Callithrix jacchus: one gene and its partner. The protein of the gene in region 1 interacts with the protein of each later gene in a pairwise test. Links are inferred from orthologs where the notes say so. Each region holds a gene or a part of one and is shown in the gene's direction. Other genes may lie near its edges. The genes, in order: APOA1 and APOC1.

Region 1 (15,611 bases):
GGCAAATCCACATCAGCACCTCAGTGTGGCAAGCCGCAGAGGGAAAGGGAGCCCACTGAGTTTTTTTTTTTTTTTTTTTTTTTAATTTTAAATGGAAATTTGAGTCTTTCTCTCTTCAAGCAAATTCTCCTCTGTGTCCGCTTTATTGCAGGTTGTGTGTACAGCTTGGGAATGAAAAGGTTGATTGAAAACCCACAGTATCTAGCAGCGCTGCGCCAAATTGCCCTGTGTTTCTCTCCACCCAGAATGTCACAGCTCCTCTCCTCACATTTGGTTCATCCGTGTGCTGTTCTTTTGGGTTCTGAGAGGGTTTTGCCATGTTTGCTTGTATGACCAAGTCACCAAGGAAATAAACAGGAAATCCATGTTCTTCATCTTTTGTGAAAGTATATTTGAGTTGGTGGTTTTGTTGTTTCGTTTGGGGGTTTGTGTTTTCTTTTGTTTCTGGTATGTTTTCTTCTGGAAGTGATTTACTTTCTTTTTTCTTTCTTTCTTTTTTTCCTTTTTTGAAACAGGAGAGCAAAGCAGTTAGATCAGAGGCCAGGGGCCTCAGGGCCACTCCCTCCCTAGCCTTCATCAGCCTCCATCCCCCTGCATTGCTCTTCTGCGAAAGCAAATACTAGAGGATGCCATCCTCTAGAATCCTCACGGCAGGCAAAGGGAGAGAGGAAGGGTGACAGCTTCTGGCACTTAGAGAACAAAAAAAGAAACCCCCAAGCCTGGAACCTAGAGAGATCTTTACTGCTGGTATCCACAGAAAAGCATGTCTGTCCCAGCCAAGATCATATGAAGAGTTTAGCGTGGAGGCTGAGAATGACCTGGCATAGATGGTTTGCCAGTTAGAATGTCTCCATTTGAGCCTTTGCTTTTGGTGGGTATCTCAGCTCCCCTCTTGTAACCTGGAAAGTTGGTTGCCTTGATCATCCTGCTGGTTTTATCCATGGACTAAACACCCAACAGCAGTGCACTATGCTTTCTGTGGCATCTTTCATTCTCATTTTATATTGTCTATAAAAAGAATTGTTTCTCCATATATATTATATATGTATGTGTGTATATATATATAATATATATAATATATATATATGCTCTCCCCTTTCAGCCTATTTGTCACAGGCAAGAAGTGTAGGAGGTTGCCTCGGGCCCTGCCTCTCTCCTAACCTCCTCCTCCCCACTGGGCACCCTCAGCCCTGCCTCTCTCCTAACCTCCTCCTCCCCACCGGGCACCCTCAGCCCTGTATTTTAATTCTTGATCATGTAGAAATTGTTTTTGGTAAATGTTGAAATTATTGTTACTGTCATTAATAAATAAAGACAAAATGAATTTTTGTTTAAAAGAGAAATGTTTAACCAGATTCTGTTCTATTTGAATTGTGACTTGCACCTTTTGTTCAAAGTATTTCCTTTAGGCATTGTAATTGTGAACCGCTCTTACTTGTGCCAGTGACAGATGCAGTGATCGCCTTTCCCCAGTTGAAGCAGTGCATACGCAATAGCTATTGTTTGTGTTATCTTTATTTCTCTTCATTGTTAGAAACCAAAGTCTTCTCTGCTGGCTGGGGCTGAGAGAGGGTCTGGGTTATGTCCTTCTGATCTTCAAAACAAGAGAGAGACCTTGAATACTCTGACTCTACATCCTTTTTTTTTTTTCTGGGAAAGGAGAGCAAGAATCCCGAGTCCCCTCCTAGTCTTTCATCCTGAATTTGCACAGAGGAAAGCGGGTGCCCGGCATGGCCATCCTGATATTGCTGGCGGGATCCCCATGCACCATGTCCTTCTCCACTGATACTGGCAGCTCAGCTCCTGGACCCAATATCCCTTGAGTGGAATTCTGCAATGCAAGAACCTTTCCTGGGAGCGTTCCCATGTTTCCATGGTCCCCAATCTCCCTTCCAACCGGTGGGGTCATCAACTACTCACCAGAAGGGGGCTTACCAAGAAAGCCCTAAAAGCTGTTGTTTGACTTCTCTGGGCTTGTTCCAACTCTTATGCCCCCGACTTGCCCTACCACCACCACGCATTCAGCCTGATCTGTTTACATGGTACTGTATGTATGGGAGAGCAGACTGCACCCTCCAGCAACATCAGATGAAAGCCAGTGAGTCTACTAACCGTGCCATCTTGCAAACTACACTTAAAAAAAACTCATTGCTTTGTATTGTAGTAACCAATATGCGCAGTATATGTTGAATGTATATGAACATACTTTCCTATTTCTGTTCTCTGAAAATGTCAGAAGTATTTTTTTCTTTCTCATTTTATGTTGAACTAAAAAGGATTAAAAAAAAATCTCCAGACTCAAGTTGCTAAGACCTTTTGTCCTTCCTTTTGTGAGGCAACTTATATACAACTTGGTTACTTAGTGGGACAGTAGGAGGTTGTGTAGATAGGAGCCTGACTCTGTTCTTAGCCTGATAGATTATTTGTGCTTCGGAGTATAGTTGGGAGAAGGCTCAGGTAGGTGGGAGCTGGAGCAGCGAAGGCTAGAGAGGTCTCCCAGGCTTAGGGTGGGGCTTTGAATGATTCATGATCTCACCTTATGAAACTCGCATTCTCTAGAAGCCTGAACTCCACTTCACACCCTGTCCCTGGGCATCCAGCTAGGACTCTGCCCTGTCAGAAGGGAGCATTTGAATTTGCTGAGCCAGGTGGAAGACAGCTTCCTTGAAAGGGCACTTTTGAAGAGTACAGGAAAGGATCCTTAAAGAGTGAACACAGGCGGGACTCTTTAAGATGTGACCCTCGTTGGCCTAGTGAGAGTATAGCTAAATAAACATTTGAAAAGAAAGGGATGGGCCAGTCGTGGTGGCTCACACCTGTAATCCCAGCACTTTGGGAGGCCGAGGCAGGTGGATCACCTGAGATCAGGAGTTCAATACCAGCCTGGTCGATGTGGTAAAACCCTGTCTCTACTAAAAATAACAAAAATTAGCCAGGCATGGTGGCATGTGCCTGCAGCTACTCGGGAGGCTGAGGCAAGAGAATGGCTTGAACCCAGGAGGTTGCAGCAAGCCAAGAATGTGCCACTATACTCCAGCCTGGGCAACAGAGGAAGAATCTTAAAAAGAAAAAAGAAGCCGGGGTGAATTTTCCTATAGTTTTCTCCTTTTTCTATAACTGAACTCCAAGGGGCAGGGTAGAGTTTCCAGCAAGGTCCCAGGCATCGCTAAGAGACAGCTGGTTGAAGGTCTATGAAGAAAACTCACTGAAGCTGGAAACACCATCTGAGTTCACGGAAGGAAGAACAAGAGAGAATTTAGAAAGCCAGCTGGGCATGGTGGCATGCGCCTGTAATCCCAGCTGCTCAGGAGGCTGAAGCAGGAGAATTATGTAAGCCCAGGGGTTCAAGTCCAGCCTAGGCAACATAGCAAGAGCCCACCTCTACCAAAAAATAAACTTAATCAGGCTGATGGCACATGCCTTTAGTCCCAGCTGCTCAGGAGGCTGAGGCTGAAGAATCGTGTGAGCCCAGGAGTTTGAGGCTGCAGTGAGTGAACCATGATCACACCACTGCACTTCTGCAAAGAAAAAAGAAAGACTTCAAGTCCATGGGGGGCTGTAGAGCCATTTAAATTAGAATAGAAAAGAGCCTTCTCAAGGAGGGTCTTCTGAAACTCCTGAGTCTGTAATATGCTCTCATGCAAGACTAGGTGAGTCTCTAGGCCCAAACAGTGATCACACCCAGATGCCATCCAACAAATTGTAGCACCTGTTGTAATAAGTGCCACTCCCTCCTAAAATCAGCCAGGGTGGGCTGGGCGCTGTGGCTCACACCTGTAATCCCAGCACTTTGGGAGGCCGAGGCGGGTGGATCATGAGGTCAAGAGATCAAGACCATCCTGGTCAATATGGTGAAACTCTGTCTCTACTAAAAATACAAAAAATTAGCTGGGAATGGTGGCGCGTGCCTGTAATCCCAGCTACTCAGGAGGCTGAGGCAGGAGAATTGTCTGAACCCAGGAGGCGGAGGTTGCGGTGAGCCGAGATCGCGCCATTGCACTCCAGCCTGGGTAACAAGAGCGAAACTTCGTCTCAAAAAAAAAAAAAAATCAGCCAGGGTGCCTTTTGGACCAGGGGTAGGGTGAGATTCTAGAGGAAGCAGAGCACTGGCTCCTGGATACAGACTGGAGAGCTCAGCTCCAGAAAACAGGAACTGTGCTGACAGATTCCTACCCAGTTTTCTTTCTGACTTTGTGCCAGCCCCCACCCCACACCAGCTACAAAGATAAAGAATTCAGAGGGCGGCCTCCCTCCTGCTGGTCAAAGATGAGCTCTGTCCTGGCCTTAGTCCCCTGAGGAGGGCAGGAGAGAATCTTGCTTAGTTGGTGGCAGTGCCCCGCCCAAGGGTCTAACTTGGGGCTCTATCACAAGAGCTGCAGCAAAATTGCCGAATAGGAAATACTGGGGCTAGGAGTCCTGTCTCCCCTGCTTAGTCAGCACCTCCCCTCCCTGAGTCTCATTCTGGCCCACGCCACATGCTCCCAGAAGAAATGTTCTGAGCAGGGATGGTATGTGGCTGCCTCCTCTCCCAGGACCACGCCTCCCTACGACCAGGCTGGTGACCCTCTGTTTAGCATGCCAGTGCCATTCACTGAGCAGATGTTTGGCGGGTGTCTTTTATGTGCAAGACCTAGCAGGGGACAGAGTCCTCCCAGTGCAGACTGGCCAGCACACTGGGGCATAAATTGTGAAAGGAGTCGCTAATCTTTCTGTGCAAAATCCACTCGTGCAGTAGCTGTCAACACTCCCACACTTCAGGGCATCCAGAGCCAGGACTTGGTGACCAGGTCAGGAGCAGTGGAATCTCCCAAGATGAGGAAAAGAAGTGGGTGGAAATAGGGGCCTACAATGGGGGCCCTGCAGCTACTAAACATCCCAACCTATGGGCACTTAGCACCTCGAACAACGCCTGGCTAGACCCTGAGTCTGAGTCCGTCATGAGCCCAGTTGGTGGTAGTTAGTTTTTCCATAGGCTCTGTCCAGAAAGACTTCTTTTCTCTCCAAAATATTAGTAAATGGGCTTTGGTCTAGTTTCAGCCAAATACCTTGCAATGAAATGAAGTGAATTTCATTCCTGGTGAATAAGTATATTTAAAAAAAGGACAGTGGGCCGGGCGCAGTGGCTCAAGCCTGTAATCCCAGCACTTTGGGAGGCCGAGGCGGGTGGATCACGAGGTCGAGAGATCAAGACCATCCTGGTCAACATGGTGAAACCCCGTCTCTACTAAAAATACAAAAAATTAGCTGGGCACGGCGGCGTGTGCCTGTAATCCCAGGTACTCGGGAGGCTGAGGCAGGGGAATTGCCTGAACCCAGGAGGCGGAGGTTGCGGTGAGCCGAGATCATGCCATTGCACTCCAGCCTGGGTAACAAGAGCGAAACTCCGTCTCGAAAAAAAGAACAAAAAAAAAAAAAAAAAAAAAAGGACAGTGGCTCATGCCTGTAATCCCAGCACTTTGGGAAGCCAAGGAAGGCAAATCACCTGAGGTTGGGAATTCAAGACCAGCCTGACCAGCATGGAGAAAACTGTCTCTACTAAAAATACAAAATTAGCCAGGCGTGGTGGCACATGCCTGTAATCCCAGCCACTCGGTAGTCTGAGGCAGGAGAATCGCTTGAACCCAGGAGGCGGAGGTTGCATTGAGCCAAGATCGCGCCATTGCACTCCAGCCTGGGCAACGAGAGCAAAATTCTGTCTCAAAAAAAAAAAATAAATAAAAATAAAAGCAAAATACTCCCTGCTTGGTAAGATGCTGTTCAACAGTACCCCCTATCCTGATGCCTTGCAGTCCCTGAGCCAGGAAATTGAGCAGTCCCTGAACAGACTGCAAAGGCTGCAGGCTCTGCAAGGCTGCAAGGCCACCCTCAAAGAACTAGAAGCCAGGCTTTCCCAATTCCCACCCCTGCCAGCGCTAACTAGTAACAGCTGAAGGATGCAGGGCAGCTCTGAACTGCAGTTTTCCCACAGGCAAAATGACAAAGGCAAAATCTGGCCTCCAGCCTTCCAGGGACATTCTAAGTTGTGAAAGTACTTTGGCCACTAAAGAACTGTGCAAATGGTAAGTATTAGGTTTAGCCATAACAATCACTTTAGTAACAAACCAAAGAAAAGAGTAAAACACTGGCAAGTAGGGCCGGGCGCGGTGGCTCACACCTGTAATCCCAGCACTTTGGGAGGCCGAGGCGGGCGGATCACAAGGTCAAGAGTTTGAGGCCAGCCTGGGCAATATGGTGAAACCCCGTCTCTATTAAAAATACAAAAAAATTTGCTGGGCATGGTGGTGCATTCCTGTAATCCCAGCTACTTGGGAGACTGAGGCAGGAGAATGGCTTGAACCTGGGAAGCGGAGGTTGCAGCGATCCGAGATCACACCACTGCACTCCAGCCTGGGCAACAAGACTCTGCCTCAAAAACAAAAGACAAAAAACACTGGCAAGTATCTTGGAGTCCAACCAGTAAGCTTCTGAGATTCCCCCAAGTGCTAGCTGGGATAGACTCTAACCCCCAAAAGAAAGGACCCTCTCTTGGCCTGAGAAATCTGTGAGCTGTCCCCGCAGGGGACCAGCCACCTTCCCACTTTCTAAAGCTACAGACAGCTGGGATGGCCAAGTAGGCAGCCCAGGCTGACGGCTCACTAAGGCCACCTCCCTCTCTGCACAGTCCCACAGACATCTGGGGCCACTTCAGTCCTGGAAAAGATGTCCCATATTTCAGCAACTGCAAGTCAAGGCCAAGCAGAGAAAAGTGGGATTCCTCCCTTCATGCCTGCTGCAGAAGCTGAGGTCTCAGGTGTGGTAAAGCAAGTGTCGTGGGAATAAAGGAAAGAATACCAGAAACTGGGATTCTAGAAAACAGAATAGTTACTACTTACTAAGTGCTAGATACCTTTCTAACAGTTTTGCATATACGTTCAAATTTCATGCTTACAACAACATACATTTATTATCTTACAGTTATGGAGGCCAGAAGTCCAAAATGGGTCACACTGGTCTAAAATCATGGTGGCAGCAGAACTGTGCTCCTTCTGGAGGCTGCAGGGAAAAATCCTTTGCCTTCTGCAGCTTCTAGAGAAGGGCTGCCCATGTCCCTCCCTCATGCCCCTCTTCCAGCAGTCCCAAGTCTGACCTCTGCTGCCAACCCCACCCCTCCTTCTCTGACTCTGACTCCGCTGCCTCCCTCTTACATAATTAAGGACCCCCGAGATGACAATGGGCCCACCTGAAGAATCCAGGCTAACCACCCCATCTCAAGGTCCTTAATCACACTGGCAAAATCATTTTTTGCCATGGAAGGTAGCAAAGTCACAGGTTCCAGGGATGAGGAATCTTCAGGGATGTTATCCACACAGTAACCCGGCCATAACTCAGGGCGATGGCATGTTCTATCATTATCTTCAATCAGGAACTATGTGTGAGGAGGTTACATAGCATAACTCATCCAGGGTCAAACAGCTAATAAGTGGCAGAGCTGGGAATCAAATCTAAGGTTTTCTGGCTCCAGAATCTTCTCTGAAATAAAAGGCATGAGGCCGACCACTCCCCGATCTGGTAAACAGAGACGTCAGGCTGGTTTCTAGAGTTTCCCGGGCTGAAGGTGCAGGGTACATTTCTGCCATGTGTCCTAAGTCCAGAGACCGGGTTCTAGGTCCAGCCTTTCTTCTAACTCCCTGAGAGATGAGAGCCTTTGGGCAAAGTCCCTTCATGCTCTTCAGTCTCTTCATCTGTGAGACGGTGGTGTTGGGAGAGGCTGGAGTGATCTCACAGTTCCTCTCAGCCTGCATCACAGGCTCTAGGACTCAGGTTCTGTCAGTAACCTGCTGTGGGAGGTCTGGGCCTTCCCGGAGAAACCTTACAAGATGGTGCTGCAAACACCAACGGATGCATTCACAGGCTGTCTCGGGGGCCTCTGACAACTCTGACCATTCTTGCCCCATTTTGCAGATAGGAAACTGAGGCTCAGAGAGATTACATAACTTGCCCACTGTCTTCCTCCAGCAAGATGGAGGCCGAGTAAAACGGGAAAGCAGGTCTCCGGCCACTTCCTTGCCCAGGGGTCTTCTTCCCACACCAGGGCTTCCAAGGGCTAGGATATCGTCTCACCTGTGTATCATCAAATGTGTGAACAATGCAAAGGAAGGCGTCTTCACTCTAAGGGACTTCAACTCTGCAATGTTATTCTGAGGTTATGCCCCCCCCTTTTTTTTTTTTTTTTTTTTGCTAAAGTCTTTCCTTTTTGAAGTGATGGTCATGGTAGACATGAGGGTTTTTGGAGGCAGACGATATCTTTACATGACAAAATTAAAAGTTGGCAGCTCTGGATTGGTCTCTATTGTGTTTTGAAAGGCAAGAGGTCTCTGAAACCTCAGTCTGGGTACCACAGAGCCCTCTCCCCTCTCCCCAGGTTTACCAATTTGGGGGACTTGGAGAGAGGCCTGCAGGACCTGCTGGGGACCAAAGAAGCACAGTGGTGGGAGGAAGGGGTGGGGGAAGAGGGGTGGGAGTGATGTAGTCTCCCTGGAATGCAGGATGGTGGGGGAGGAGGTCTCCTGGGTGGAGGAGTCCCAGCGTCCCTCCCCTCCCCTCTGCCAGCACAATGGACAATGGCAACCGCCCACACACTCCCATGGAGGGGAAGGGGATGAGTGCAGGGAACCCCGACCCCACCCTGGAGACCTGCAAGCCTGCAGCCACTCCCCTCCCGCCCCCACTGAACCCTTGACCCCTGCCCTGCAGCCCTGCAGCTCGGCAGCTCGCTGTTTGCCCACTGTATTTGCCCTTCCCCAGGGACAGAGCTGATCCTTGAACTCTTGAGTTCCACATCGCCAGGACCAGTGAGCAGCAGCAGGGCCCAGGCTGGGCTTATCTGTCTCCCTGCCCAGCCCCTGGCTGCAGACATAAATAGGCCCTGCGAGAGCTGGCTACTTAGTCTTCCAGAAGAAGGTGAGTGTTTCTGCCTGCCCAAGAAGGAGGTGAGTGCTGCTGCCTGTCCCGGGTGACTCTGGCTACCCAGCTCGAGGCGAGGCATCGAGGTTCAGGCTCTGCCCCAAGCCAGGCTTCTGGGAACCTGAGGTCTTCTCCCACTCTGTGCACATTCTCCTCACCTGGCTGTAATGAGTGGGGGGAGCAGGGGGCTTCAGCATGCTAGAGACACACCCCTCCTGCCGCCACTCAGCCAGGCCCTTCTTCTCCTCCAGGTCCCCCACAGCCCTTCAGGATGAAAGCTGCGGTGCTGACCTTGGCCATGCTCTTCCTGACGGGTAGGTGTCCCCCAGCCTAGGGAACCAACCATTGGGGGGCTTTCTCCCTAAACCCCTTTGGCTCACCCTCCTGGGCAGAGGCAGCAGGTTTCTCACTGGCCCCCTCTCTCCCATCTCCAAGCCTGGCCTTTTGGCTCAGATCCCAGCCCACAGTTGGCCTGATCTGAGTCTCCCCTCCCACCCTCAGGGAGCCAGGCTCGTCATTTCTGGCAGCAAGATGAACCTCCCCAGAGCCCCTGGGATCGAGTGAAGGACCTGGCCACTGTGTACGTGGATTCAGTCAAAGAGAGCGGCAAAGACTATGTGTCCCAGTTTGAAAGCTCCATGTTGGGAAAACAGCTAAAGTAAGGACCCAGCCTGGGGTTGAGGGCAGGGGCAGGGGGCAGAGGCCTGTGGGAAGATGTTGAATCCAGACTGGTGAGTCCTCACCTACTATCTGACGAGCTGGGCCCCACAAATGGTCTGGATGCAGAGACCGGAATGGGAGCCCCGGGCAGAGTCACAGCCCATGCCCCCTGCAAAGGTCAGACCAGGGCTGCCTGATCTGTGGTAACAACGCCAGCTTGTGCCTACAAGTGCAGCAGCCCCCTTGCCCTTCGTCACCTCCTCTGCTCCTGCCCAGCAAAAGTGTGGGCTGTCTTGGGAGAGGAGAATATGCTGGAGGCAGAGAGGTGAGGTCCTTCAAGGGCCCATTTTGGAGACCAGAGAACTGGGCACCAGTCCCAGCTCTGTCTCTTTCTTAGCTCCTCTCTGTGCCTCGGTCCAGCTGCACAACGGGGCATGGCAGGGCAGGGCAGAGGTGTTGCTTGAGAGTGTTGAAACTCTAGGCCACTGCACCTTCGCGGACAGGTGTCGCCCAGGACTCACCCCGGGTTGGTTGGGGCGCTGGGAGGCCAGCCCTCAACCACTGTGTTTCCCCGTCCAGCCTGAAGCTCCTGGACAACTGGGACAGCTTGACCTCCACTGTCAACAAGCTGCGCGAACAGCTCGGCCCGGTGACCCAGGAGTTCTGGGAAAACCTGGAAAAGGAGACAGAGGTGCTGAGGCAGGAGATGAGCAAGGACCTGGAGGAGGTGAAGGCCCAGGTGCAGCCCTACCTGGACGACTTCGAGAAGAAGTGGGAGGAGGAGATGAAACTCTATTCCCAGAAGTTAGAACCGCTGCGCACGGAGCTCCAGGAGGGCGCGCTCCAGAAGCTGCAGGATCTGCAGGAGAAGCTGAGCTCGCTGGGAGAGCAGGTGCGCGACCGCGCACGCGTCCACGTGGACACGCTGCGCACACAACTGGCACCCTACAGCGACAAGCTGCGCCAGCGCTTGGCCACGCGCCTCGAGGCGCTCAAGGAGAGCGGCGGCGCCAGCCTGGCCGAGTACCACGCCAAGGCCAGCGAGCATCTGAGCACACTCGGCGAGAAGGCCAAGCCCCTGCTCGAGGACCTTCGCCAAGGCCTGCTGCCCGTGCTGGAGAGCTTCAAGGCCAGCTTCCTGAGCGCGCTCGAGGAGTACACCAAGAGCTGAGCTCCCAGTGAGGCGCCAGCCGCCGCTCTCCTTCCCGGTGCTCAGAATAAACGTTTCCAAAGTGGGAAGCAGCTTCTTTCTTTTGGGAGAATAAAGGGGGCGGGGGGGGGCGGGACATCGGGGGAGCCCGGGTGGGGCCTTTGGCCCTGGCCCAAGGACTTCCAGCCGGATCTCAACAACTCCGTGCCCAGACCGAGCCTCTTAGGGCCAAGATGGATGCTGGAGGACCTGCTGGAGGCCTGGCTGCTTGTGAGGGAGGGAGTAGAGTCTGCCTTAGCAAGGCTCAAGTAGACAGGAAGTCACAGCGGACCACCAAAGCCACAGACAATCCAAGGCCAAATGTCCTGAAAGAGGATCAAACGAGGCCTACATCCCTGTCCGAGACAGGCCAGGAAACAGGGTTACTTTACCTGGGGGCAGTGGGGTTCCCAGTCCCCAGAGGTGTTCCCACACAGAGCCGCTTTCAGAGGGGTGGGGGCAGAGCGGCCTCAGGGAGCAACTGGGACAGAGGTTAGGCCAGGTACAGCGAAGTGCTTGGAGTTTGCGCCTATACTCCTTTATTAATTCAAAAACCTGTCAAGCAGACAATTCCCTTTTCACAATCTCCCTCCCACTCCTCCCATCCCACCTAGCAATAGCCACAGCATCCTCAGGCACAGCAGTGGAAGCCAGCCCCCCGCCCCCTGCGGCCCCATGCGGTGCCACCCGGTCTTTCTGCTAGCTCTGACAGAAGCTGACCTGGGTCAGAAAAATCACCACCACCTCTTGCAGGTACATTTTTATTTCCAAGATGCTCTCATATCTGTGATCTCACTGCATCCTCCCTTCCCCACATCCTGTGTAGATTGCCATGGCACAGCGTGGATGAGGATGCTGAAGCCCTAAGATGGGATGTTGCTTGCCCAGTGAACAGCAGGATGGGCTAGGCAACCCTATTTAGACCCTGCGCTCCTCGACATCCATGATTAAGAGTGTATGGGTTGTGTGCAATGGCTCACGCCCGTAATCCCAGCACTTGGGAGGCCAAGGTGGGTATCATTTGAAGCCAGGAGTTTGAGATCAGCCTGGCCAACATGGTGAAACCCTGTCTCTACTAAAAATACAAAAAATTAGCTGGGAATGGTGGCTTGCACCTGTAATCCCAGCTACTAGGGAGGCTGAGGCGGGAGAATCGATTGAACCCAGGAGTCGAAGGTCACAGTGAGCTGAGATTGTCCCACTGCACTCCAGCCTGGGTGACCAAGACTCTAGCTCAAAAAAAAAAAAAAAAAAGAAGTGTGTGGCCTAGCACGCAAGTTCACATGGGTGTGCAGGCATGCCTGCATATTCTCACGTGACCTCCCTGCTCACAGTCCCTCTGTGCACCCATGTCTGAATGTCCCCGCGTGCATGCACATGGCTCCACAGATCTGGGCAGTGCACCCATAGAGCCTTCCCTGCCCTCTTTCTGCAGGACCTTTTGCCCCATCATGCAGGCCCCTGGGTAATCTGCCCCGTCCCCATAGCCCCATCTCCAGTGTATCTTAGCTACCCCTTGGAAAAAGGAGTCAGCTCTTTAGTTCCTAATCTTCCAGAGCTACAGCAGACAGACAGCCAGGTCTGGGTGGGAACATTTTCCAGATAAGGGTGCTGAGATCTCTCGGTGCAGAGAAGCCCTAGGGAATTTCCAGAGAGAAAGCAGTCTTCAGGTGGGGCCGGAGGTACTGATGCCACTGAGATCTGTAAAGAAGCCCCTAACACCTGACACAGAAGTGACAAAACTTTTCTGCATCAACTGAGCAGAATACACATGGCTGACCTGGGCTCAAGGTCTGGCCCTGCCACGTGCTGGTTCTGTGGTGCTGGGCAACTGTGTTCGCCTCTCTGGGCCTCAGTTTTTTCATCTGAGGAGTGGAGGCCTACTCAAGCCATCTGCAGCTCTAGAGCTCTCTGGCCTGACATCTTTCAGGTGGTGGGGACACGAAGGCCCCCTCTGTTGGTGTGACCTTGTGCTCCTTTTTGGATTCCAGGACACTGCCCCCTGCCACTCCAAGCTGCGTCCCAAGGGCCCAGTCAGCTCAACTATAATGATGACAACATTTATCAGGCATCTTCACATGCAGGGGCTGGGCCAAATGGTTTGAACACTCTCATTTCAATCTCATGACACACCTGAAGTGGAGGGGGTACTGTCGTACCCATTTTACATGTAAGGAACTGAGGCTGATGTCAAGTGGTGGAGCCAAGACTAGTGCCTCATTGCATCTTACTCCAGCCACGAGCCCATCCGGCCTCCTCCCCTCACCTGTACCTGCCAGGTGGCCTGGGTAGGGGAGGTCAGTTCCACAGCTTTGAGTGAACACACACAGTCTCAACTCTGATGAGGACTTAAGTGCCAGGCATAGTGGCTGGCATAGGGCACCCACTCAAGTCATGTTGAGCAGCACCTAACAGTTTATCAAGTATCAGCAAATATATTGTCCTGTTTGGTCTTCCACATAAACCTGTCAAGGAAGGCAGGGTACGGAGGATGATTCCTACCGTAGAGATGAAGAAAATGAGGTCCAGAGACCGCCCAGCTACCAGGAAGTGGACAGAATGCTGGCCAGTGCCCACCCACAGAACAGCCTTAGCCCTTTCCAATGCCCAGACACAGATGGCACACTTGCGACGGGCCACTCATAGCAGCTTCTTGTCCAGCTTTATTGGGAGGACAGCATGCCTGGAGGGGGCCAGGCATGATGGGGAGTGGGAGGGCAATGAGAGTATTGTCCCTTTTAAGCAACCTGTGGGGGCAGCCTGGAGACTGCGGGACCCAAGGAGCTGGCAGGATGGACAGGCAGGTGGACTTGTGGAGTTGAGGTCTCAGACACCCTCGGCCAGAGTTGTGATCTCCGGGCTCGAATCCCAGAACTCAGAGAACTTGCCCTTAATGGTGCTCCAGTAGTCTTTCAGGGAGCTGAAGCCATCGGTCACCCAGTCCCTAAATCAGTAAGGAGAAGCAATGGAGGTGGGGGGGGGGGGCGTGAGAACTCCTCCATAGGCAACATGGGACACACACCCATGTCCCCACTGGCTCTCCCCGACACCCTCTCAACCTCACTTGACAACAGCCCAGAGATCTCAGGCAGGAATCACCCACGGCCGCCAGCCTGGGAGAAGAGATACCCTCCCAGGGACCCCAGCCAAGTCCAACTCTGCTGTCTCCAGGTCACATCTGGATGATGTTTGTACCCCTGGGCCTAAGGCACAGAGTGACATGGTGGGGACATGTGAAAGGTCAAGGCTGTCATTGTTTTTCTGTGCAAACAGCACCCCCTGGAGTTGTACATCCTGGTGGCTCTAAGTGGGGTGGGGCAGAGGGAGGCAGCCTCTCATTTGGAAAGTCATTAGAGGATTAATTAGCCGTGTGATCTGAGGCAGGTCACCTACTTGCTGTGAGCCTTAATTTTCTCATCTGCAAAGTGGGAAAATAGCGCCTACCCCATGGCGGGTTCTGAGGACTAAGAATATTTAAGCACACTTCTGCTATGCCCGCCAATGCCAGTCGGGTGAGGTGGAGAAGGGAGTGGGGGAGAGGAGAGGACCGGTGAGCAGTGGCAGGATGAGAGAGAAGGCAGGATGGGAGAGAAGGATGGGCTTCTGCTCACACGGGCCTCAGCTCTTGGAACAAGGCAGAAGTGCTCTCACGCCCAGGCTAGAATTGGGTCAGGTGGGTCAGGTGAGGCCTCCCAAGGCCAACCTCTAGCCCAGGAGTCCCCAAGCATCAAGTCACAGACGGGTACTGGTCTGTGGCCTGTTAGGAGCTGGGCGGCACAGCAGGAGATGAGTGTTGGGGATCGAGCATTAGCGCCTGAGCCCCGCCTCCTGTCAGATCAGGTTCTCACAGGAGTTTGACCCCCCTATTGCGAACTGTGCATGCGAGGGGTCTGGGTTGAGCGCTTCTTATGAGAATCTAAGGCCTGATGATCTCAGGTGGAACAGTTTCATTCACCCTCAAACCAGACCCGCTAGTCTATGGAAAAATTGTCTTCCACAAAACTGGTCCCTGGTGCCAAAAAGGTTGGGGACCACTGCTCTAGACAGACCTTTGGAAAAAAAAAGTGGGGGGCTAGGTGCAGTGGCTCATGCCTGTAATCCCAGCACTTTGGGAGGCTGAGGTGGGTGGATCACCTGAGGTCAGGAGTTTAAGACTGGCCAGACCAACATGGTAAAACCCCGTCTCTGCTAAAAATACAAAAATTAGCTGGGCGTGGTGGTATGTGCCTGTAATCCTGTAATCCCAGCTACTTGGGAGACTGAGGCAGGAGAATGGTAGGAGAATTGCTTGAACCTGGGAGGCAGAGGTTGTAGTGAGCCAAGATCGTGCCTCTGCACTCCAGCCTGGGTGACAGTGAGACTCCATCTCAGAAGCAAAAAAAAAAAAGGGGGAAGAAAAATGGAAATAAGGGCTAAAAATGGCCCGCCCTAGGGCTGCCCTGGGGAGCACAGAGGGACTGGGAGGTATGCAGTCCCGACTCTGTCATCTCTCCTGCAGCAGCCTGACAAAGGCTCTGTGAGAAAAGAGGAGGCCAAAGAGGAATAGGCCCAGGGGAGGCTGGGAGCACCGCGGCTCCACTGCTGGGCTCCCACCAGGGCAGGGGCGGTGGGGAATGGAGGGAGCCGGCAGGGAAGATGGGGAGGGAGGGCTGGCGGGTGTACCTGGCCTGCTGGGCCACCTGAGACTCCTGCACTTTGCTCAGTGCGTCTTTGGCAGTCTTGGTGGCGTGCTGCATGTAGTCCTGCATGAAGCTGACAAGGGAGGTGTCCTCGGCCTCTGAAGCTCCTGAGGAAAGAGCAGGGCTGAGCAGGCTGCATG
Region 2 (15,695 bases), on another chromosome or scaffold:
CACTGGCCACACAGTTCTCAGCCCATCCTTCCCCTCTGTGTCTTAGACGGAGTCTGGCTCTGTCACCCAGGCTGAAGTGCAGTGAGTGGTTCGATCTCAGCTCACTGCAACCTCTCCTTCTTGGGTTCAAACGATTCTCTTGCCTCACCTTGGGTTCACGCAAATCTCATGTCTCAGTAGTTAGGATAAGAGGCTGGCACCAACACACCTGGCTAATTTATGTACTTTTAGTAGAGACGAGGTTGCACCATGTTGGCCGAGCTAGTCTTGAACCGACCTCAAGTGATCCACCCACCTCAGCCTCCCAACATGCTGGGATTACGGGCATTAGCCATCGTGCCTGGCCTCTGCCCCTCTTTTATTTCTACTCCCCTTTTTCCTTTTTCCAAAACAAGGTCTCACTCTGTTATCCTTGATCACAGCTCACTGCAGCCTCCACCTCCTGGACTCAAGTGATTCTCCTGCCTCAGCCTCTCCAGTAGCTGAGACTACAGGCGCACACCACCAGGATTAATTTGTGTGGTGGGTGTGGGTGTGGGTGTAGATGGGGTCTGGCTGTGTTGTCCAGGCTCATGTGGAACTCCTGGGCTTAAACGTTCCTCCCACCTTGGCCTCCTGAGGAGCTGGGACTACTGGCTAGCACCACTGCACCCGCTTATTTACTTTTATTCTTTGTAGAGATGAGAGGTCTCACTATGTTGCTCAGGCTGGTCTCCAACTCCTGGGCTCAACCGAACTTCCCCCATCGGCCTCCCAAGTGCAAGTGAGTTGCTGTGCCAGGCCTGCCCATCCTAATAACACTGGCTCCTCAAGAGTTGCAACCCCAAATGAGCTGAGACTGGTGCCTTTATTCTGAAGCCATTTTTATTTTTTTCTGCTGTCTTTACTCTCCCTCCTTCTCTCCTCCCGTCTTTTCTGATTTCTGCCTCCTTCCCGTCTCCTCCCCCCTACCCCCACCCCCACCCCCCACTGTCTCTCCATGCTCTCCTTAGGAGATGTCATTTTCTGGCTTCCTGTTTTCCTCCACCTCTATCTTTTATCTCTCCCTCCTACAGTTTCTCTCTCCCAGGCCTGCTTTCTTTCCCCCCTCCCTTCTGCATCTGGGTTTGTCCCTCCGCCACCGGTTTTGTTTGAGCCCCTTGCTTCTCCAGTTCCCTTCTAGCTAGCTGTCCCTTCACCCACTAGGAACTGGGCTTCCCTGCCCCAACCCTCATTTTCTTTCCTTTTTTTTTTTTTTTAACAGAGTCTCCCTCTGTTGCCCAGCCTGGAGTGCAGTGGTGCAATTTTGGCTCACTGCAACCTCCCCTTCCCAGATTCAAGCGATTCTCCTGCTTCAGCCTCCGGAGTAGCTGGGATTTCAGGCATGCACCACCACACTCGGCTAATTTTTGTATTTTTGGTAGAAATGGGGTTTCAACAAGCTGACCAGGCAAGCCTCAACCTCCTGATCTCAAATGATCTGCCTGCCTCAGCCTCCCAAAGTGCTGAAATTACAGGCGTGAGCCATCTCGCCCAGCCTATCCCTCATTCTCCATCCCTTCCTCCAGCTGTGATGTCCACCTTTCATGTTTCCCAACAAGCCTACCGGGTGCTGAGTCCAGGCTGGGAAGAGAAGGGAGCAGCTCCTTCTATGGAAGGCTGCCCCAGGTGCCACGCTGAGATGAGATCCGCGCAGAGCAGATCACCTGAGGTCAGGAGCTGGAGACCAGTCTGGTCAACATAGTGAAACCCTGTCTCTACTAAAAATACAAAAATTAGCTGGGCATGGTGGTGAGTGCCTGTAATCCCAGCTACTCAGGAGGCTTTGGCAGGAGAATTACTTGAACACAGGAGGCTGAGGTTGCAGTGAGCCGAGATCGCGCCACTGCGCTCCAGCCTGGGGGACGAGAGCAAAACTTTGTCTCAAAAAAAAAAAAAAAAAGAGTTGGCGCTCAGAGAGGGGAATCTTGGATGAAAGCCTAGGAGCCGCCGGCACTATCCTTCCCTCCCACCCCCTCAGTTCCCAGAGATGGGGAGCAGGGTTCCCACCAACGGGGGACAGGCCAGAACTTGAGCTTGTATCTCGTGGGCCAGCTGCAACATCTGCACGTTCCTCTGCCCGTCGTGCACACTCCAGACGCGGTGCTTTCCCTGGCGCTGCTCCAATCACCCCTGTGGAGGCAGCTCTCCTCCGCCAGAGATGACTCACCAGGTCTGCGTGAGGAGGGGAAGGGTCAGTGTGCTCACAGGCAGGGGGCCTGGTCCGCTGGGCCTGCTGCTGATTCACTGTATGTCCAGGGGCTGGGGCAGCACCCAGATGTCAATGAGGGGAGCAGCATCAGCCCCATCTCCCACTTGAAGAGTCGACCCTTGAGTTCTCATGTATAAATAATTTTTTTTTGAGACAGTGCCTTGCTCTGTCACCCAGGCTGGAGTGCAGTAGGGTGCTCACAGATCAGTGCAGCCTCCAACTCAAGTGACCCTCCTGCCTCAACCTCCCGAGTAGCTGGGACCACAGGCACCCACCACTATGCCTGGCTAACTTTTTTTTTTTTTTTTGAGACAGAGTTTCACTCATTTCCCAGGCTGGTGTTTAATGGCGCGATCTGACCTGACTGTAACCTCCACCTCCTGGATTCAACGGATGCTCCTGCCTCAGCTTCCCAAGTAGCTGGGATTACAGGCATGTGCCACCATGCCCGGCTAATTTTTTGTATTTTTAGCAGAGAGCGTGTTTCATTATGTTGGTCAGCCTGGTCTCCAACTCCTGACCTCAAGTGATCCACCCACCTCAGCCTCCCAAAGTGCTGGGATTACATGCATGAGCCACCACACCCAGCCAGATTTTAAAACTTTTTGTAGAGATGGGGTCTTACTACGTTGCCCAGGCTAATTTCAAACTCCTGGGATCAAGCAGATCCTCTTGCCTCAGCTTCCCAAAGTGGTGGGATTACAGGTGTGAGCCACTGCACCCAGCTGACCTGTGAAGACTTCTAAGCAGACTGGGCGCCCTATCTCACCACATCTGTGGTCAGATCTAGAGTTGGGACAGGGATGGGAAGGAGGTTCCAGAACAAAGGCCGGCAGGGAGTCCTACGGGACAGGAGTTGACCCCGGCAACCATCCAGAGAGACATCCCGGATCCTAGACGGAGACAGACAAAGAGCTCCCTCTTTATATTTATTTATTTATTTATTTTTTGGGACTGAGTCTCACCCTGTCACCCAGGCTGGAGTGCAGTGGCACAATCTCAGCTCCCCACAACCTCCACCTCCCAGGTTCAAGCGACTCTCCTGCCTCAGCCTCCCGAGTATCTGGGACTACAGGCTTGTGCCACCATGCCCAGCTAATTTTTGTATTTTTACTAGAGACGAGGTTTCACCATGTTGGCCAGGATGGTCTCCATCTCCTGACCTTGTTATCTGCCCACTTCGGCCTTCCAAAATGCTGGGATTACAGGCATGAGCCACCACGACCAGCCTATTTCTTTATATTTTTGAGACAGAGTCTCAGTGGTGTGCAGTGGCTCAATCTCAGCTCACTGGTGAGACAAAGTTTCACCATGTTGGCCAGGCTGGTTTCAAACTCCTGACCTCAAGTGACCCGCCCACCTCGGCCTCCCAAAGTTGTGGGATTACAGACGGGAGCCACTGCGCCCCCACAACTCCCTCTTTGTCCCTCGCTGAGCCCTACTGGATGTTCTTCATTGTGTGTCAGTTTCCCCATGTATAAAACAGAAACCCCTATAGCAGAGGGTGGGAGGATGAAAGGCAGGAGCTTTGCAGTTCTATTCTTGTGGGGTCAGGAGGTGGAAAAGCAGGAGCACTGCTATTCTATTCTTGTGGGGTCAGGGAAGCAGACATCTGGGTGGATGTCTGGGGACTGCTGGGCTCAGTTGGGGAAGTAGGGGGCCCTCTGGGGCTGACAGGGACTGGAAGCTCTGAGCTGGCCAGAGAGATGTTGCAATTCTGCCAGGGTCTTGTCTATGCGTCCCTTTCACAACCATCCCCCTACCGCCAGGCTGACACGTGGTTGTGGGGGCACAAGGCCAGCCAACCTAGAGTTTGAGGCTGGGCCGAAGCCACCCTCCCCACTAGCTGCCAGGGTCACTGGCGGTCAAAGGCAGCTGGTGGGGAAGGCATTGGACTCCAGCCCAGGGTGACGGATGTGGTGATGGGGGGAAGTGGGCTTGGTGCCAGGAGGGGCCTCAGAGGGTGAATAACAGTAGATAGAGTGTTGCGGGGAAGTAGCCAGGCAAATGGGGTGAGGCCCGGTGGAAGGAGGAAGGGGCATACATTTAAGCTTTACAGCTGAGGGTTTTAATTTTTTGAGATGGGGTCTCACTCTGTCCACTAGTCTGGAGTGCAGCAGCAAAATCATGGCTCACTGCAGCCTCAAACTCCTGGGCTCAAGCAATCCCCCCACCTCAGCCTCTTGAGTAGCTGGGACTACAAGCATGCGCCACCACACCTGGCTAATTTTTAAATTTATTTGTAAAGATGAGGTCTCTCTATGTTGCTCAGGCTGGTCTTGAACTCCTAGGCTCAAGCGATCCTCCCACCTCAGCTTCCCAAACCACTGGGATTACAGGGATAAGTCACCACCCCTGGCCAATGCAGGTGAGGTTTTTGCAGTGTCATCCAGCTGAGGCATCCCCTTCCCCTCACAAAAAAGGGAGATTGAGAACCATAAAGTTAAGAGCCAAAAGCAGGTCAGGGGCAGTGGCTCATACCTGTAACCCCAGCACTTTGTGAGGCCAAGGTGTGTGAATGACCTGAGGTCAGGAGTTCGAGACCAGCCTGACCAACATGGAGAAACCCCGTCTCTCACTTCATCTACTTGATTAAAGAGAAAGGAAAAAAGAAGAAAAAAATAAGTAGAAACCCCGTCTCTACTAAAAATACAAAATTAGCCAAGCCTGGTAGCACATGCCTGTCACTGCAGCTACGTGGGAGGCTGAGGCAGGAGAACTGCTTGAACCCAATAGGCCGAGGTTGTGGTGAGCCAAGATCGTGCCATTGCACTCCAGCCCAGGCAACAAGAGCAAAACTCAGTCTCAAAAAAAAAAAAGCCCAGAGAATAAGAGGGTGGTCTAGGGGCTTTAAGGGCTGGTCTGAAAGAGATGGGAAGTGGCACTCAGGGTAGGAGTGTGGGGCCAACCTGGAGACCCCAGCAACATAAAGAAAAGTTGGGGCTGAGGAGGCTTGCTAAGAGAGAGGAAGTGGAGGGAAGAGGTGGTCTAGGGACACGGTGTGAATGAGGCGTGGATGAGCTCACAGGGTTATTACTGGGAGCCCCCTGAAGGAAGATGGCCATAGGGACAGAACCAGGCTGCCCTCTGAGTGGGGAAAGGGGCAATGGCAGTCTGAGGACGCCCCAGAGTCAGGAAGATTGGGAGGTGAGGGTGCTGAGGCTTTGGGGCTAAGGGAAGTGCCTAGGACCTCACCTGACCCCAACGCCCACGGGCCAGGGGCAGAGTAGAAACACGTGGCTAGGCAGAGGGAGGCAGGCGGCCAGGGGAAGGCGCAGGAGGGAGATCAGCATCAACCTGCCCCGCCCCCTCACCAGCCTGATAAAGGTCCTGCGGGCGCCGGGATCTCCCATCCCCACCCGAGCCCTCCAGCAAGGATTCAGGTTGGTGCTGACTGTCCGGGGGGGGGGACGCCCGCCTCCCCGCTGCAGGAACTCAAAAGAGGAGACGAGGGGATCGTGGAGGGAGGGAGGGAGGGAGAAGGGTGCCGCTGATCCCCTGCACCCCTGCCTCTGCCCCCAGAGTACCCCTCCTGCCCAGCCATGAGGCTCTTCCTGTCGCTCCCGGTCCTGGTGGTGGTTCTGCTGATGATCTTGGAAGGTAAAAGTGGAGTAGAATTGGGGAGTTGGAGATGTGGAAGAGTGATGGTGGCTACAGGCCTGGGGCCCCGGCTTAGAGAACCTCTGAGCGCTCCGGAGCCCTTTCTGGGTCGCAGTTGTCCCGTTGCTATCGGGTAGGTTGCTACAGGTTCTTCCAGGCTCAGTCCGGCAGGCTCCAAATCTGCCCAGGAGGGCCCTAGCAACCGATGACGTATTGACGCCCGTCCCTCTGGGACTGGCTGTCCTGCTTCTACAGCCCTGAAAGTGGGTGAGCGGGGCTGGGGGCTGGGGGAGGGGGTCAGCTGAATAAGGCAATGCTCAGCAGCTTGAGCCCCACCCGGTCACTCCAGTGTCCTCCCCTTTCTAACAACATGATCCCCAAGAATCTCCCGGTATCTTATCCTAAGGGGTTTCCAATAACAAATATTTGGCTGGGCGCGGTGGCTCACGCCTGTAATCCCAGCACTTTGGGAGGCCGAGGCGGGCGGACCACTTGAGGTCAAGAGTTCGAAATCAGCCTGGCCAACATGGTGAAACCCCGTCTCTACTAAAATACAAAACAATCAGCCGGGTCTGGTGGTGCACACCTGTAATCCCAGCTACTCAGGAGGCTGAGGCAGCAGAACTGCTTGAATCCGGGAGGCGGAGGTTCCAATGAGCTAAGATGCCTGGGCAACAGAGTGAGACTCCGTCTCAAAAAAGAAAAGAAAAGAAAAAAAGAATTTGCACCCCTGCCCATGTTCCTGGCAGGCCCAGGCCCAGCCCAGGGGGCCCCGGAGGGCGTGGACACCTCCAGCGGCTTCGATAAGCTGAAGGAGTTTGGAAATACAATGGAGGACAAGGTTCGGGAATTCTTCAACCGCGTCAAAGAGAGTGACATTCCTGCCAAGACTCGGTTAGAACCCTTCCCACTGGAGGGCTGGGTGTGTTTGGGTGGAGCCCTGGAGGATGAGCCAAGATGAACAGATTGAAAAAAAAAAAAGTCCCAAAGAGGATGACAACTTCCCTCTGGTCACACAGCTAGATCTCAAGGTGCTCAGACTTCAGGGACAGTTTCCTGAACTCCTATAAAGAAAGAAAGAAAGGAAAGGAAGAAGGAAGGGAAGGGAAGGGAGGGAGGAGGGAAGGAAGGAGGGAGGTGGGGGAGAAAGAAAGAAAGGAAGGAAGGAAAAATCTAGCTAGGGCTAAACTTGGAAAGATTGTTTAGAGGCTGGTCACAGTGGCTCTTGCCTGTAATCCCAGCACTTTGGAAGGCCGAGGCAGGTGGATCACCTGAAGTTGGGAGTTCAAAACCAGCTTAACCAACATGGGGAAACCCCATCTCTACTAAAAATACAAAATTAGGCTCGACGCAGTGGCTCACGCCTATAATCCCAGTACTTTGGGAGGCTGAGGTGGGTGGATTAACTGTGGTCGGGAGTTCAAGACCAGCCTAACCAACATGGAGAAACCCAGTCTCTTCTTTAAAAATACAAAAAATTAACCAGATTTGGTAGCACATGCCTGTAATCCCAGCTACTTCGGAGGCTTAGTTAGGAGAGTCGCTTGAACCTGTGAGGTAGAGGTTGTGATGAGACAAGATGGCGCCACTGCACTCCAGCCTGGGCAACAAGTGGGTAACTCCATCTCAAAAAAAAAAAAAAAAAGAGCCGGGTGCGTGGCTCAAGCCTGTAATCCCAGCACTTTGGGAGGCCAAGGCGGGTGGATCACGAGGTCAAGAGATCGAGACCATCCTGGTCAACATGGTGAAACCCCGTCTCTACTAAAAATAAAAAAAATTAGCTGGGCATGGTGGTGCGTGCCTGTAATCCCAGCTACTCGGGAGGCTGAGGCAGGAGAATTGCCTGAACCCAGGAGGCGGAGGTTGCGGTGAGCCGAGATCGCGCCATTGCACGCCAGCCTGGGTAACAAGAGTGAAACTCCGTCTCAAAAAAAAGATTGTTTGGAGGCAGAGCCAAAGGTCCTAAGGCACGAAGGCTGATAGATAATCAAGAGAGGGTGATATTTCAGGCAGGGGAACTGTCTGGCCAAAGGCAGTGAGGCTGGAAAGTACCTTTGAATGAGTAGGGGAACAGCTAGGGCAAGGGCAGGCTTGAAGAAAGGGTTGGTAGCAAGAGATGGCAGGCCTTAAAATCCAGGCCAGGGTGAAGAGGTAAAGTGTGTCTTTTTTTTTTTTGAGATGGAGTTTCACTGTTGTTGCCCAGGCTGGAGTGCAGTGGTGCAATCTTAGCTCATTGCAACCTGTGCCTCCCAGGTTCAAGCGATTCTCCTGCCTCAGCCTCCTGAGTAGCTGGGATTACAGCGCTGGCCACCATGCCTGGCTAATGATTCCTTCTGGGTTTTTGTTTTGTTTTGTTTTGAGGCAGAGTCTTGCTCTGTCTCCCAGGCTGGAGTACAGTGGCCTGATCTTGGCTCACTGCAACCTCCACCTCCCAGGTTCAAGTGATTCTCCTGCCTCAGCCTCGTGAGTAGCTGGGACTACAGCCGTGGGCCACCATGCCTCACTAATTTTTGTATTTTTAGTAGAGATGGGGTTTCACCATGTTTGCCAAGTTGGTCTCGAACTCCAGGTTGGAGACAAGTGATCTGCCTGACTCGGCCTCCCAAAGTGCGGGGATTACAGGTGTGAGCCATGCCCAGCCAAGGGTAAAGTGTTTAGCTTTCAATGTGCGTTGGTCTATCTGGGAAACTGAGGCACAGAAGTTGGCCCACACAGCCCAGCGGTCCTCCTAATCCCACAGACAATGAGGATGCAGATTCAGCAAGAGGAAGATTGGGAGTCAGGTGGCAGGTAGAATTTGGACAGCCTGGAAGGTAGCTGCACAAAGTGACTCCCTTCCTTATTCCTCCCCACAGGAACTGGTTTTCAGAGACACTGCAGAAAGTGAAGGAGAAACTCGGGATTGAATCATGAGCACCTGAAGGATGATACCCCAGGAGGGGGCTCTGAAATTTACCACACCCCAGTGCCTGTGCTGAGGACTCCCTCCATGTGGCTCCAGGTGCCACCAATAAAAATCCTATAGAAAATTCTGACTGCTTCCTCACTGTGGGGTAGGGGCTGCAGGAGAGGGTAGGGGCAGCATCTTAGGGACTCCTCACAAGCCTTCCACTGCTCAATCTATTTGCCTTGTGCTGAGGATGTTGTAACTCCATGGTCTCAAAAGAATCTTCCTAAGAACCTTGCAAACTGGGCCTTATTAATCCCAAAAGGGCATTGAGATCCAGAGAGGTGAATTTACTTGTATAAGGTCACGAAGCCAGGAACTGGAGACCTGGAACTGGATTGAACCCTCAGCCCGGCAATATCACTATGTTACACTGTCCTGCTGTGGTCTATCTGAGATGAGTAGCTGCGGGTGTTTTTGTTTTTGGGGGGTTGTTTTTGAGATGGAGTCTTGCTCTGTTGCCCAGGCTGGAGTGCAGTGGCACAATCTCAGGTCAGTGCAACCTCCACCTCCCAGGTTCAAGCAATGATCTGCCTCAGCCTCCCAAGGAGCTGGGATGACAGGCACCCACCGTGACGCCCAGCTAACTTTATATATATGTATTTTTTTTTTAATTATCTTTACTTGATTTTATTACCTTTTTTTTTTTTATGATGGGGTTTCACCATGTTGGTCAGGCTGGTCTTGAACTCCCGACCTCAGGTAATCTGCCCGCCTTGGCCTCCAAAGCGCTTGGATTACAGGTGTGAGCCACCACGCCCGGCCATAACTTCATATATATATATATACATGTTTTTTTGTTTTTTGAGATGGAGTTTTGCTGTTGTCACCCAGACTGGAGTGCAGTGGCACGATCTCAGCTCACCACAACCTCCGCCTCCTGGGTTCAAGCAATTCTCCTGCCTCAGCCTCCCGAGTAGCTGGGACTACAGGCGCGCACCACCATGCCCAGCTAATTTTTGTATTTTTAGTAGAGACGGGGTTTCACCTTGTTGACCAGCATGGTCTCGATCTCTTGACCTCGTGATCCTCGATCTCTTGGCCTCGGCCTCCCAAAGTGCTGGGATTATAGGCATGAGCCACCGAGCCCAGCCAACTTTATATATATATATATATATATTTTTTTTTTTTTTTAGATGGAGTTTTGCTCTTGTTACCCAGGCTGGAGTGCAGTGGCGCATTCTCGGCTCACCACAACCTCCGCCTCCTGGGTTCAAACGATTCTCCTGTCTCAGCCTCCCAAGTAGCAGGGATTACAGGCATGTGCCACCATGCCCAGCTAATTTTTTTTTTGAGACAGAGTTTCGCTCTTGGTACCCAGGCTGGAGTGCAATGGCGCGATCTCGGCTCACCGCAACCTCCGCCTCCTGGGTTCAGGCAATTCTCCTGCCTCAGCCTCCTGAGTAGCTGGGATTACAGGCACGCGCCACCATGCCCAGCTAATTTTTTGTATCTTTAGCAGAGACAGGGTTTCACCATGTTGACCATGATGATCTCGATCTCTTGACCTCGTGATCCACCCGCCTCGGCCTCCCAAAGTGCAGGGATTACAGGCTTGAGCCATGCGCCTGGCAACTTTTTATATTTTTAATAGAGACAGGGTTTCACTATCTTGGCCAGGTTGGTCTTGAACTCCTGACCACGTGATCCACCCACCTCGGCCTCCCAAAGTGCTGGGATTACAGGCATGAGCCACCACACCATGACTGTTTTTTTGGTTTTGTTTGTTTGTTTGCTTTTTTGAGACTAGAGTCTCACTCTGTCCCCCAGGCTGGAGTGCTGTGGCACGATCTAGGCTCACTTCAACCTCCGTTTCCTGGGTTCAAGGGATTCTCCTGCCTCAGCCTCCCTAGCAGCTGGATTACAGGCATGCACACCACACCTGGCTACTTTTTGTATTTTTAGTAGAGACAGGGTTTCGCCATGTTGGCCAGGCTGGTCTCCAACTCCTGGGCTCAAGCAATCCTCCTGCCTCAGCCTCCTCCCAAAGTGTTGGGATTACAGGCATGAGCCACTGTGCCCAGCTCTCATGTAAAATTAAACCACATAAACATGTGATACAACCCTATGTAATTAAGATTTCTTTTTTTTTTTTGAGATTGGGTCTGGCTCTGTAACCCAGGCTGGCGTACAGTGGCATGATCTCCACTCACTACACCCTCCGCTTCCCTAATTCAAATGATTCTCCTGCTTAAGCCTCCTGAGTAACTAAGATTACAGGCATGTGCCATCATGCCCAGCTTATTTGTTTAGAGACGGAGTTTTGCCATGTTTGCCAGGCCGGTCTGGAACTCCTGACCGCGAGCGATCCACCCGCCTTGGCCTCCCAAAGTGCTGGGATTACAGTTGTGAGCCACTGCACTCAGCTTAAGATTTCATAAGAAAAATATTTGTAAGCCACATATCTAATAAGGGATTCATATTCAAAATATATAAGGGACTTCTACAATTCTAGTGGAAACATCAAACACTGCAGCCACTGTGGAAAGCAGTATTCGTGTTCCTCAACGCATTAAAAATAGAACTATCAGATGATCCCGTAATCCCACTTCTGGGTGCTTATTCAAAAGAACCGAAATCAAGCCGGGCGCGGCGGTGCGTGCCTGTAGTCTCAGCTACTCGGGAGGCTGAGGCTGGAGAATCACTTGAGCCCAGGAGTTCTGGGCTGTAGTGCACTATGTTGATCGGGTGTCTGTACTAAGTTCGGCATCAATATGGTGACCTCCCGGGAGCAGGGGACCACCAGGTTGCCTAAGGAGGGGTGAACCGGCCCAGGTCGGAAATGGAGCAGGTCAAAACTCCCATGCTGCTCAGTAGTGGGATCGCGCCTGTGAATAGCCGCTGCACTCCAGCCTGGGCAACATAACGAGAACCTGTCTCTTAAAAAAAAAAAAGAAGCCGGACGAGGTGGCTCATGCCTGTAATCCCAGCACTTTGGGAGGCTGAGGCAGGTGGATCACAAGGTCAAGAGATTGAGACCATCCTGGTCAACATGGTGAAACCCCGTCTCTACTAAAAATACAAAAAATTAGCTGGGCATGGTGGCGCGTGTCTGTAATCCCAGCTACTCAGGAGGCTGAGGCAGGAGAATTGCTTGAACCCAGGAGGTTGCGGTGAGCTGAGATGGCACCATTGCACTCCAGCCTGGGTACCAAGAGCAAAACTCCATCTCAAAAAAAAAGAATTGAAATCAGTGGTGGGGCGCGGTGGCTCCCACCTGTTATCCCAGCACTTTGGGAGACTGAGGCCGGTGGATCACTTGAGATCAGGAGTTCGAGACCAGCCTGGCCAACATGGTGAAATTTTCCGGGCATGATGGCATGTACCTGTAATCCCAGGTACTCGGGAGGCCAAGGTAGGAAAATCGCTTGAAACTGGAAGGCAGAAGTTACAGTGAGTCGAGATTGTGCCATTGCACTCCAGCCTGGGCAACAAGAGCAAAACTCCATTTCAAAAAAATAAATAAACAAAGTTTGTGGAATGTGAATTATAACCAATTTTTCTTTTCTTTTTTTGTTTTTCTGTGAGGACGGAGTTTCGCTCTTGTTGCCCAGGCTGGAGTACAATGACACAATCTCGGCTCACTGCAACCTCTGCCTCAGTGATTCTCCTGCCTAAGCCTCCCGAGTAGCTGAGATTACAGGCATGTGCCACCAAGCCCAGCTAATTTTTGTATTTTTAGTAGAGACATGGTTTCTTCCCAACCTCAGGTGAAGCGCCAGCCTCGGCCTCCCAAAGTGTTGGGATTACAGGAGTGAGCCACCATGCCCGGCCATAATTCAATTTTTCAACATGCATTAGAAGGGACATTTGAAATTCTTCTTCACCCCATCCTCCCTGCCGTCATCCAGAGTATCTAGTCAGGGAATGGCTAGAGACACCAGATTAGCAGAGAGGTGAATGCAGGGATGAGAAGGATGAAGGGGATGAGGGGGTGGGATTCAGACCAGGGCCAGGCCCCAGGTGTGGAGAGAAAAAGATGAGAGTGGTTTTGGGGCTTAGTGACTTGAGCACAGAGTTGCAGGCTCAGAGGTACACAGGTCATTCAGGGCTGGCCCCGCCCCCTTCCAGCCTCTCAGTTCCCATTCTCCAGCAGCTGTTTGCATGCTGCCTCTGAAGTCCACCCTGAACGACCTTCAGCCTGTTCCTGTCCCTGAGATGGGCAAACATTGCAAGCAAGAAGCAAACAGCAAACACGCAGCCCTCCCTGTGTGCTGACCTGGGAGCTGGGGCAGAGGTCAGAGACCTCCCAGAACCATGCCACCTCCAACATGCTCTTGACCTCTTGGATTTTGGTGGAGAGGGGCAGAGGGTTGGGGAGTCATCGGTAAGTGGCTACGCCCCCACACCAAAGTTACTTCCTCATCTGTACGATCGAGAAAGGTGCCACCTGCCAGGCATGCTGGCTCACGCCTGTGATCCCAGCACTTTGGGAGGCTGAGATGGGTGGATCACTTAAAGTCAGGAGTTCAAGACCATCCTGGCCAACATGGTTAAACCCTGTCTCTACTAAAAATACAAAAAATTAGCTGGGCGTGGTGTCACATGCCTGTAGTCCCAACTATTCTGGAAGCTGAGGCAGGAGAATCGCTTGAACCCAGAAGGCGGAGGTTGCAGTCAGCTGAGATAGCACCATTGCACTCCAGCCTGAGTGACACCGTGAGACTGCATCTCAAAAAAAAAAAGATGCCCACCTGATAGGGCTTTTGTGGCAAATAAGTTCGTGGTGGCAGGTGCCTGTATTCCTAGCTACCCGAGAGGCTAAGGTTCTCATCCCAGCTACTTTGGAGGCTGAGGTAGGAGAATCACTTGCATCCAGGAGGTGGAGGTTGCAGTGAGCCAAGACCATGCCATTGCACTCCAGCCTGGGCAATAAGAGCAAAACTCTGTCTCGAAAAGAAAAGAAAAGAAAGAGGTAGAGTTGGTGGGAGCCGTGTCTCACGCCTGTAATCCCAGCACTTTGGGAGGCTGAGGAGGGTGAATACGAGGTCAGGAGATCAACACCAGCCTGGCCAACATGGTGAAGCCTCATCTCTATTAAAAATACAAAAAATAGGCCGGGTGCGGTGGCTCACGCCTGTAATCCCAGCCCTTTGGGAGGCTGAGGCGGGTGGATCACGAGGTCAAGAGATCGAGACCATCCTGGTCAACATGGTGAAACCCTGTCTCTACTGAAAATACAAAAAATTAGCTGGGCATGGTGGCACGTGCCTGTAATCCCAGCTACTCAGGAGGCTGAGGCAGGAGAATCACTGGAACCCGGGAGGCGGAGGTTGCAGTGAACCAAGATCACGCCATTGCACTCCAGCCTGGGGGACAGCGTGAGACTTCATCTCAAAAAAAAGAAAAGAGGGCCGGGCGCGGTGGCTCACATTTGTAACATGGTAAAACCTTGTCTTTTAAAAAAAAAAAAGAAAGAAAAAGAGATAGAGTCAGGCTCTGAACCCCACACCAAACTGGTTTTCATAACACAATACGTGGTAGGTTTGTTTTTGTTTTTTTATTTGGGGTTTTTGTTTGTTTGTTTTGGAGACAGGGTCACCCAGGCTGTAATGCAATGGCACAATCATAGCTCGCCGTAGCACTGAACTCCTAGGCTCAAGCAATCCTCCTACCTCCGCCTCCTAAGTAGCTGAAAGGACAGGTGCGTGCCACTACGCCTGGCTGACTTTTTTTATTTTTAGTAGAGACCAGGTCTCCCTATGTTGCCCAGGCTAGCGTCTAACTCCTGGGCTCAGGTGATCCTCACACCAGGGATTACGGGCATGAGCCACAATGCTGGCCCTTGATTTGTTTTGTTCTGTTGTTTTTTTTGAGACGGAGTTTCGCTCTTGTTACAGAGGCTGGAGTGCAATGGCACGATCTCGGCTCACCGCAACCTCCGCCTCCTGGGTTCAGGCAATTCTCCTGCCTCAGCCTCTGGAGTAGCTGGGATTACAGGCATGCGACACTATGCCCAGCTAATTTTTTCTATTTTTAGTAGAGATGGGGTTTCACCATGTTGACCAGGATGGTCTCGATCTCTTGACCTCGTGATCCACCCGCCTCGGCCTCCCAAAGTGCTGGGATTCCAGGCGTGAGCCACCACGCCCAGTCTGTTCTGTTTTTTTAAGAGACAGGGTCTTACGGTGTAGCTCAGGCTGGATTCTCAAACTCCTGGGCTCAAGGGACCCTCCCACTGCAGCTTCCTGAGTAGCTGGGGTTACAAGTACCTCCCTGCCACAGTACCTGGCCGTTATTGTTTTTTATAATTGTGGTAAAAATACAAATAACATGGCCGGGCACAGTGGCTCAAAGTGCTGTGAGGTCGAGGTGGGAGGATCGCTTGAGCCCAGGAGTTCAAGACCAGCTGGGTATACTTGGCAAAACTGTCTCTACAAAAAATTTAAAAATTAGCTGGGTGGCCAGGTACAGTGGCTCATGCCTGTAATCCCAGCACTTTGGGAGCCTGAGGTGGGTAGATCATCTGAGAGGTCGGGAGTTTGAGACCAGCCTGGCCAACATGGTGAAACCCCCATCTCTATAAAAATACAAAAAATTAGCCAGACATGGTGGCAGGTGTCTATAATCCCAGCTACTTGGGAGGCTGAGGCAGGAGAATCACTTGAACCCAGGAGGCAGAGGTTGCAGTGAGCCGAGATTGAGCCACTGCACTCTAGCCTGGGCGACAGAGCAAGACTCTGCCTCAAAAAAAAAAAAAGAAAAGAAAAACATAAAAAACAAACTTACCACCGCAGCCATTTTTAGGTGTACAGTTCAGTGGCATCAAGAACGTTCACGCTGTTGTGTAACCATCCCCACCATTTCCGGGATATCTTCGTCATCCCAAACAGAAACTCTGGGTGTTTTCAATCTGCTGACGATTGCTACCTAAGAACTGCAGGGGACATTTGTTGCTCACCTGCTGTGCTCAGCTGG

The links.
Region 2: the proteins of APOA1 (region 1) and APOC1 interact in a two-hybrid assay, tested with the Homo sapiens proteins (2 studies listed by BioGRID, with this or other methods). The link is inferred for Callithrix jacchus from reciprocal best matches to the Homo sapiens genes APOA1 and APOC1.

The regions. Positions count from the first base shown.
Region 1 is NC_133511.1:16,468,757-16,484,367, reverse strand, and holds APOA1 (apolipoprotein A-I), read left to right. Parts: upstream 1-8,766; 5' UTR 8,767-8,940; exon of another isoform or gene 8,941-8,969; intron 8,970-9,194; 5' UTR 9,195-9,214; coding exon 9,215-9,257; intron 9,258-9,444; coding exon 9,445-9,601; intron 9,602-10,182; coding exon 10,183-10,774; 3' UTR 10,775-10,842; downstream 10,843-15,611. Other genes in the region: serine/threonine-protein kinase SIK3, read left to right, coding at 152-175; APOC3 (apolipoprotein C-III), read right to left, coding at 13,619-13,736, 15,455-15,578. UniProt on the Homo sapiens protein: Participates in the reverse transport of cholesterol from tissues to the liver for excretion by promoting cholesterol efflux from tissues and by acting as a cofactor for the lecithin cholesterol acyltransferase (LCAT).
Region 2 is NC_133523.1:39,118,341-39,134,035, forward strand, and holds APOC1 (apolipoprotein C-I), read left to right. Parts: upstream 1-5,581; 5' UTR 5,582-5,613; intron 5,614-5,752; 5' UTR 5,753-5,772; coding exon 5,773-5,830; intron 5,831-6,579; coding exon 6,580-6,724; intron 6,725-8,685; coding exon 8,686-8,743; 3' UTR 8,744-8,859; downstream 8,860-15,695. UniProt on the Homo sapiens protein: Inhibitor of lipoprotein binding to the low density lipoprotein (LDL) receptor, LDL receptor-related protein, and very low density lipoprotein (VLDL) receptor.